Linked DNA regions of Drosophila melanogaster. The protein of the gene in region 1 interacts with the protein of each later gene in a biochemical or structural test. Each region holds a gene or a part of one and is shown in the gene's direction. Other genes may lie near its edges.

Region 1 (3,924 bases):
TCGCTGTAAGCAGCAGCAGCAACCGCCAGTGGGAGTCTCGAAATTGACCAACCAAATATGATAATGATACTAATCCATTGTTAATCCGCAGCTTCAATCCGCCAGCTGCGGGCAACTCGGCGCAGAGTTCCCAGACGGCTCGCCGCAAAATCCGCGCCCCCGTACGCCGTTTGCCGCCCCGGTAGAAATGGCATCGCAGTCGGCCATCACGATAGCAAATGAGGCCGCCGTCGGATTAGGATTAAGATATTGGCAGCCATTGCCGAGAGTAACAGAATCAGCAGTAGCAGCAAAAGCATCAAGGGCCGAAAAGGAAAAGCAAGACACAGAAGACGCCGGCAACAATAGTGGGCTCAAAGGTTCGGTCCAGAGCCAATATCACCAGGAGCCAGATATTCAAGGATCATCGAGGATAAACATGCAGTCACCAAAGTCGCCATGTGTGAACAAATACCGCTTCGTACGCCGCCACAGCCTGAACTCTGAAACCAGGAAACCCTTTAGCAGGAATATTTGGCAGAATACAACAGGAGAAGGCAATGAAACCAATGGCGACGATGTCCCTAAAACACCAACAACTGGCGACCAGGAGGACAACCAACAGGAGGAACGAGATTCAGCGGTATATACATCAACAGAACGAACTGTACTAGTAAGGACCCAATTCAAGATAGTGCGGCAAAGGAGCGTCATCTCGAAACCGAGACAGAAGCCTCCGACTTACTCTTAAAAAGCTAAGGAATAGGTTCGTTCCACATCCTTCTCTGCTCTCCGATGATTGGGAGATGACCACGCGAATGTCGCTCATACTACGCATATTGATGATTACAAATTATAAAAACACTTCGTTGGATTTACGCGAGAATTCATCGCACCAAAAAAAAAACGAAAATGAATATATTTTAACGTTATTTTTGTTGAATATATAATATACCTTAACGATAATTATGTAATAATTATTTTGCGAAATAGTAAAGAAACGTGTAATGCTGCAATCAAACAGAGATGCGAGGCCATGTAATAGCGCAAAAAATCAACTACTGTATAATGTAGTAATACGTATATTCGAGTTATTGGCCGATACGTCGAGCATATGATGATTGCAGTCAGATAAGAGCGATCGGCAAACGATTGCATTAAGTCTTTAGTTTTTGTTATTAATTTTAGCGTTTAGATTCACACACACACAATTCACACGAGGAAAATACCTGCAACGACGTTCTGTGCAGCAGCCAAGGTGGAAAGCCAACAAATTAAAGAAAAACAACTATCTAGCAACGTAAAGAAACCAACCAACCCTATAGCTAACAAGATAACAGATTAGATGAAAAGATTAGAGAGAATGGTGGCAAACTGGAAAACCGAAAGAGTTATAATTGTATGCATGTTTTTTATATACATAAATTCATAAAGAACATTTAATATTTTATTTTAAGTTTATATTGATCATTTTTAAGTCGAGAACAGAAATGGAAATCAGAAGTCTATGTTGAGAGAGAAACGGTATCATAATGTAAATAAGTAAATATATGCGGTATGATAATTTAAACATTGTGCTCTTTACTTGGGTTTTCAACTGGAATTGCAATGAAATTCTATAACGAATATTTGGTGTCTTAAAGTACATATCTTACTTTGAATGGTAATTGTTTTCAGCGCGAATACTTTACAAACATTTGAATTTCGAAAAGCCAGTTGACCACAGGCGAACTCACCATGCCACGGCAACGGTCACACTGCCGCCATTGCGATAGACATCGATAGCCGTTCCAGCACTAATACTCACGATAAACACCACCTCTATTTCTGGCATCGGCAATTATTTCCCTAGGTTTATTATTTTTTTGTTAAGCGAATTGCTTGTGCGCTCGTGCTGTCGCCATAATGTGTGCAATGTGTGCCAGCCAGAGGAGCAAGTGGTGAAGGTGTATCGCTTGTGCGCATCTCGATTTGTCCATCCATATCCAATTGAATCCCAGTTTCCCAGTCGCGTCCGCTGCTATGCGTGTGTGTGTGCGTGCGTGCCCGTGTCCCTGCATGTGTGTGTGTGAGTGAGATCGGGAAGAAGTTGTGTGCTGTTGTTGTTGTTGTTTCTGTCGGATTTGCCGTTGCCATCGTTTGTTGTTTGTGCATTTTCCATTGTCGGGCGACGCAACAAAAAGAAAAAAATTACACATTAAAAATAGAGAGCAAGAGCGAGAGGGAAGGAGTGGTGTGGAGTGGAAAAGGGCGGTAAAAGGGCAGAAATTTGGAGCACGGGAAATCCGAGTCGCTGAAGATGTTCTCGAAGAAGAAAAAGAAACCGCTGATCTCGATGCCCAGCAATTTTGAGCATCGTGTGCACACGGGCTTCGACAAGCGGGAGAACAAATATGTTGGCCTGCCCCTCCAATGGGCGTCCATTGTGGGCAACAATCAGATACTCAAGTCCTCCAACCGCCCGCTGCCACTGGTCGATCCCTCGGAGATTACGCCCACCGAGATTCTCGATCTGAAGACTATTGTGCGTCCGCATCACAACAACAACAAGGCGGACACCACCTCGCTCAACAGCAGCAGCACAATGATGATGGGCTCAATGGCGCCGATGAATCCCATGGCACCTGGCGCACACCCAATGATGAGCCATGGCCCCGGAATGATGATGCCACCCGAGACGGGCGGCATAGTCCTGCCGAAGACCTCTCACGTGGCCAGATCCAATTCGCTGCGGAGTTCCAGTCCGCCGCGAGTGCGACGGGTAGCCAATGTGCCGCCATCGGTGCCGGAGGAGGAGGGACCACCGGCAGCTGGAACACCGGGAGTAGGTGGAGCTAGTAGCGGTGGCTTTAAGCCACCCGGTGCCCATCCCTCCCTGCTCTATAACAGTCAGCATGCGCACGCGAATGGAGCAACAGGACCACTGGCCGTGCGCACGGATCAAACCAACCTGCAGCAGTATCGCAGCAATCTGGCCCCGCCATCCGGCGGCTCCATGCCCCAGCAACAGCAGACTTCGCCCGTGGGTTCGGTGGCCAGTGGCACGCGATCCAATCACTCGCACACGAACAATGGCAACAGCGGCGGCAGCTATCCTCCCATGTATCCCACAAGCCATCAGCAGCAGCAGCAGCAGCAACAGCAGGCCAAACAGGGTGGCGATCAGAACCAAAATCCTCTGCATCCGCATGCTCATCCGCATCCGCACCATCACCAACATTTGGCCAAGTCGGCGTCCAGGGCATCCAGTTCCAGCGGGGGAGCGAGCAGTGCTGCCCAGCAGGCGAGCGGCGCCAGTGGAGGAGCGGCGGGTCAGCCAAAGCAGGACCAACGACTCACCCACGAACAGTTCCGTGCCGCCCTTCAGATGGTGGTCTCCGCCGGTGATCCACGCGAGAACCTCGACCACTTTAACAAAATAGGCGAGGGCTCCACGGGCACCGTATGCATTGCCACGGACAAATCCACAGGCAAGAACATCCGCTTTAACTATTGTCAAAACCATTGAATTAATGGCATTTGGTTTTCTCATTACGTACAGGTCGCCAGGTGGCCGTGAAGAAGATGGATCTGCGCAAACAGCAGCGACGGGAGCTGCTATTCAACGAGGTCGTCATCATGCGGGACTACCATCATCCCAATATCGTGGAGACATACTCCAGCTTTCTGGTCAACGATGAGCTTTGGGTGGTGATGGAGTACCTCGAGGGCGGCGCCCTCACCGATATTGTCACCCATTCGCGCATGGACGAGGAGCAGATAGCCACCGTCTGCAAGCAATGCTTGAAGGCTTTGGCCTATTTGCACTCACAGGTGCGTGACCAGCATGACACTGCCCCTTTCCTGTCCCCGTTCCCATTACCATTCCCTTGGCCAAACTGGGCAGCAGAGAACGGAGTACTCGCCATCATGCGATTCTTTGTGCCTTTGTACCTTGCCATTTGC
Region 2 (3,882 bases), on another chromosome or scaffold:
TAGCTTGGCCAAGTGGATGGCACCAGCATTTGTAATGCTCAGGCAGCCGTTCACCTTCAAGTGCTCCAGCTGCGGATTAGTTTGTACCAAGGCGGCCAGATTTTCATCGTTAACACACATTGTGGCCGACAAATCGAGGGCACACAACTGGGGCTGTGTGGCTAGAAAGTTCAGGATTGTGGTGCAGTTAAGCTGTCTGCATCCGGCCAAATAGAGGCGCTGCAGTTGGAGATTGAGGTCGCAAAGGGCCAACAAAGCCTGGCCAATTAGGGTGTGGCTAAAGTTCAACACGCGCAACGTACGTCGCTGCAGGTTCAGAATGGTGAGGATGAACTTGAACGTGAGCACAGACTCGCTGGGCAAAACGTGATCCGAGGAGCTGGTGGCAGGGTAAAATCTGCGATGAATAGCATTGTGAAAGGCTATGTGACAGCCGGACATGTTAATCGCTTCCAGACTGGGCATGAACGATGTGAGACGCATAAGAATGGCATCCGTGAGGTATTGGTTCTCGCACAGCGTCAGCTCCTTGATGCCGGCCAGATTGCTTGCCAGGTCGTTTAGGTCAGGACAGGAGTTGTTGTAAGAGTCCAGGAAAGAGCCGGACATGAACAGCGGCAGACAGCGCTTCAGCGACAGCGAGTGGAGATGGGGCAGCACGCCCAGCATGCCGTAGAACTGTTTGTCATTCAAATCCACATTGTCCAGAGCCAGGGACTGAGCGGTCCTGCCCATGAAGCGCATCAATTCCTTTACTTGTCCCAGTGTCACGTCCTCGAACAGGAAGTGCTGGAAACGCCGCTCGCAGCGCATCAGATCCACTCCAGGACTCAATTGATCCGATAGCACCACCTTGGAGAAGCAGACTCGCGTGCGCTGGTTAAATTCCGCCTGATCCAGCGCCGCATGCCATCGCTGGCAGGTGGATCCTGCCGCTTGTAAGTCCGAGTAGCCGAGATAGCTGAAAATCTTCAAAACAATCTGGGGGCGGAACAGAAAAAAACAAAATCAGCTGACTGCCCTAACAGGTATATGAATATGCAGATATAGATACGCTCGAAATGATGGATTGGTCACGGGACCGCGGCAGTCCGTTCACATTATATGCTCACCTCCAGCGGCAGATCATCGTATCTATGCAACCCGTACTCTAAGCCAGACATTACTCTATTGTTTTCGGATGCAAAATATTAAGATTAGTACAACCAACTAGCAGCTCCCACCGCCCACTCGCTTCGCCCGCAAACTACACGAAAACTACAGTGTTGACTAACTTAGTACCTGTGCTAGGTACAGTAGGACCGTGCCTTTTTTCTATCCTCACTGGTCTATAAAATACCAGAAGAAAAGTGTACCTTCATTGATTTACCAATTGGAAGTCGATCATGGAATTATTTACCTATTGCTTATGAATGATTTTAAATGTATATCGTTTTTCCTAAAATCAAAATAGGTTTAAATTAGCACAAAAAGCTTTAATTTATTTTTATAAATGTTTGCATCTATGAATCCAGTTAACAAAGTACAATGTGCAAGTACAATTTATTTATATCGATGATATATTTTGCAATACTATTTACTCTTAGCTTATTAGCCGTTACAAGTAATAACTGTCTTTTTTAAATGACTTTTTAGATACCTCTGTTTATAAATACTCCAATGACAACTGCACTTTGGCATTTGTTTGGTAACCGCGCACGGTAACTTTTTTTATGACATCAGATCGAATTGATTGTTGTAAAAAAGGATTTTTGAAGGTTTATAATTATTTCGTTGCCAAAGGATTCCAAACACCGCCGTCGACGTGCCCACAATAATGGCCGATCCCAAGTTCCAGAACCTACCGGGAATAGTAAGTCGGAACTCCGCACCATGGCAGTGACGTTTAAGCTTTCGTTTTTGCCCATTTATACATATATGTACTTTATGTTTTTAGGCTTATGACCAGCCGGACGTGTACGAAACTCCAGATGACCCGGAGCTCGATACATCCGACTACTACGAAGAGGAGCCGGAGAACGAAGCCATCGAGCGACTGCACATCTCGCCGAGCGTCGCTCACAAGCGCTTCAGCGGAGCAACGGTCGAGGGGAGTGTGGACTTCACGGATCGCATTGGACGACGCATGTGCCGGGGTTACGATACGCGCGGCTCCAGCGACTACGAGCTGGTTGGCCAGGGCGAGAAGGAGACGCCGGTGCAGAAGTGCCAGCGCCTGCAGATCGAGATGAACGAGCTTCTGAACGAGGTGGCCGCCTTGCAGGTGGACCGCAAGGTAGCCGACGAGGAGAAGCAGTCGTACGATGCGGTGGCCACGGTTATCAGCACGGCCCGAAAGGTGCTGGAGTCGCTGAAGCTGGAGCAAGTGCTGGGCAAGGAGCAGACGCCTGGAAGTAAGCAGGTGAAAGCACTCATTAGCCAGGTGGAGGAGTTCAAGCAGTCCGGCGTTCTCACAGCCATACCCACGCCTGGCACCGATCTGGCGGCCACGGCCCGCGTAGCCAGTCTAGAGCAGCGAATCTCGCAGCTGGAGAAGGTGCTGGGCGCTCAGCCGGACAAGTTGAGCCGCCTTACCGCCGCCACCAACACCACCAATGTACTAGAGGCAGTGCGTCATCTAAGCACCAAGGCGGCCCTGATACAGCCTGATAAACTGGACACCATCGAGCAGCGCCTGACCTCGCTGGCCGGCAAGATGGATGCTATCGCCGAAAAGTCCAGCGGCAGTGCCCAGGACGCCAAACGAGATCAGAAGATTACGGAACTATACGACATCGCGAAGCGCACGGAGCCAGTGGTGGAAATACTGCCGCACGTCATCGAACGCATGCAAGCCCTCGAGGCCCTCCATAAATATGGTAAGCAATTCTATTTAGCATTTTAGCATTGTGCTTGTTTCTGTAACTAATCAACTTGCTCTGCAGCAAACAATTTCGCCAAGATCATCGCAGAGATTGAGCAGAAGCAGGGAACCATCACCACTAGCTTGGTGAACAACAAGGAGCTGCTGCATTCCGTACAGGAGACTTTCGCCCAGAATCTGGAGACTATCAACAGCAAGGTGGCCAAGGTGGAGCAGCGTGTGGCGGCCATATCGTCTGCCAAATGAGTGGATGCATACCATGCGTATTAAATAAACATAGCTTATATTTATGAAAGATACCTATAATAAAGAGATCTACATTCGAGTCCAGTTCCAGTCAAAAAATAAATGCAAAGTGATCTGGAATTTAAAATGAGTTCATAATAAATATTAATATTAAAAGTGCTGAAGCTAGTTTACGAATATAAAATGCGATGGAAAATAAATCTTTAAATAATTTCGACTATCATTTTTAATAATGTATACTGATAAAAACTATTTTTAAAATTGCACATTGAAACGGAATATTTAAATTGCATACCGTTAAACTCGCAGTATATTCTGGTCGCACGCATTTGGTATTTCAGTGCGTGCCCTGTGGTATATTACGTTGGCTCAGAGCACGGTCACACTGGCCGTTCCTACGGTTCTTAAAAATATTAACGATTCCAGTTAAATTCAAGATCAAAAAGTCTCGTTGCAGCGCAAGCGAGTACAAATTGCATTCACAATTGTGTGTAAGTTGCGCAATTAGCATAATTAAAGATACTTAAAGGCCGGCGGGCACTACTGGGCCACATCTGCAATGGGGAAGCCAATGGGAAAAGTGATGACGGGGCTTACTCCAATTGGACGTGACACAATTTCGTTCTGAACTTGTACCTCCCATAATATTTGTGTTTTTTCGCTTTATTTACACGAGCAGCACGAAGGGACATTGCAAGATGAAGATCAAGGAACTGCAAAAGACGGTGAACATCGCCTGGTCGCCGGCGCAGCAGCAGCAGATTCTCTTGGCC

What was found.
Region 2: of the proteins of mbt (region 1) and DCTN2-p50, one has a biochemical effect on the other in vitro, tested with the Drosophila melanogaster proteins (one study listed by BioGRID).

Annotation. Positions count from the first base shown.
Region 1 is NC_004354.4:16,608,914-16,612,837, forward strand, and holds the start of mbt (mushroom bodies tiny), read left to right. Parts: upstream 1-1,771; 5' UTR 1,772-2,278; coding exon 2,279-3,449; intron 3,450-3,520; coding exon 3,521-3,792; intron 3,793-3,863; exon of another isoform or gene 3,864-3,924. Other genes in the region: Nup153 (nucleoporin 153kD), read left to right, coding at 92-185. UniProt on the Drosophila melanogaster protein: Involved in neurogenesis of the adult central nervous system, and together with Cdc42, regulates photoreceptor cell morphogenesis. Phosphorylates exogenous substrates when activated by Cdc42.
Region 2 is NT_033778.4:8,890,138-8,894,019, forward strand, and holds DCTN2-p50 (dynactin 2, p50 subunit), read left to right. Parts: upstream 1-1,694; 5' UTR 1,695-1,816; coding exon 1,817-1,852; intron 1,853-1,936; coding exon 1,937-2,858; intron 2,859-2,924; coding exon 2,925-3,109; 3' UTR 3,110-3,202; downstream 3,203-3,882. Other genes in the region: CG8272 (uncharacterized protein), read right to left, coding at 1-981, 1,113-1,163; Sec31 (secretory 31), read left to right, coding at 3,808-3,882. UniProt on the Drosophila melanogaster protein: Modulates cytoplasmic dynein binding to an organelle, and plays a role in prometaphase chromosome alignment and spindle organization during mitosis. May play a role in synapse formation during brain development.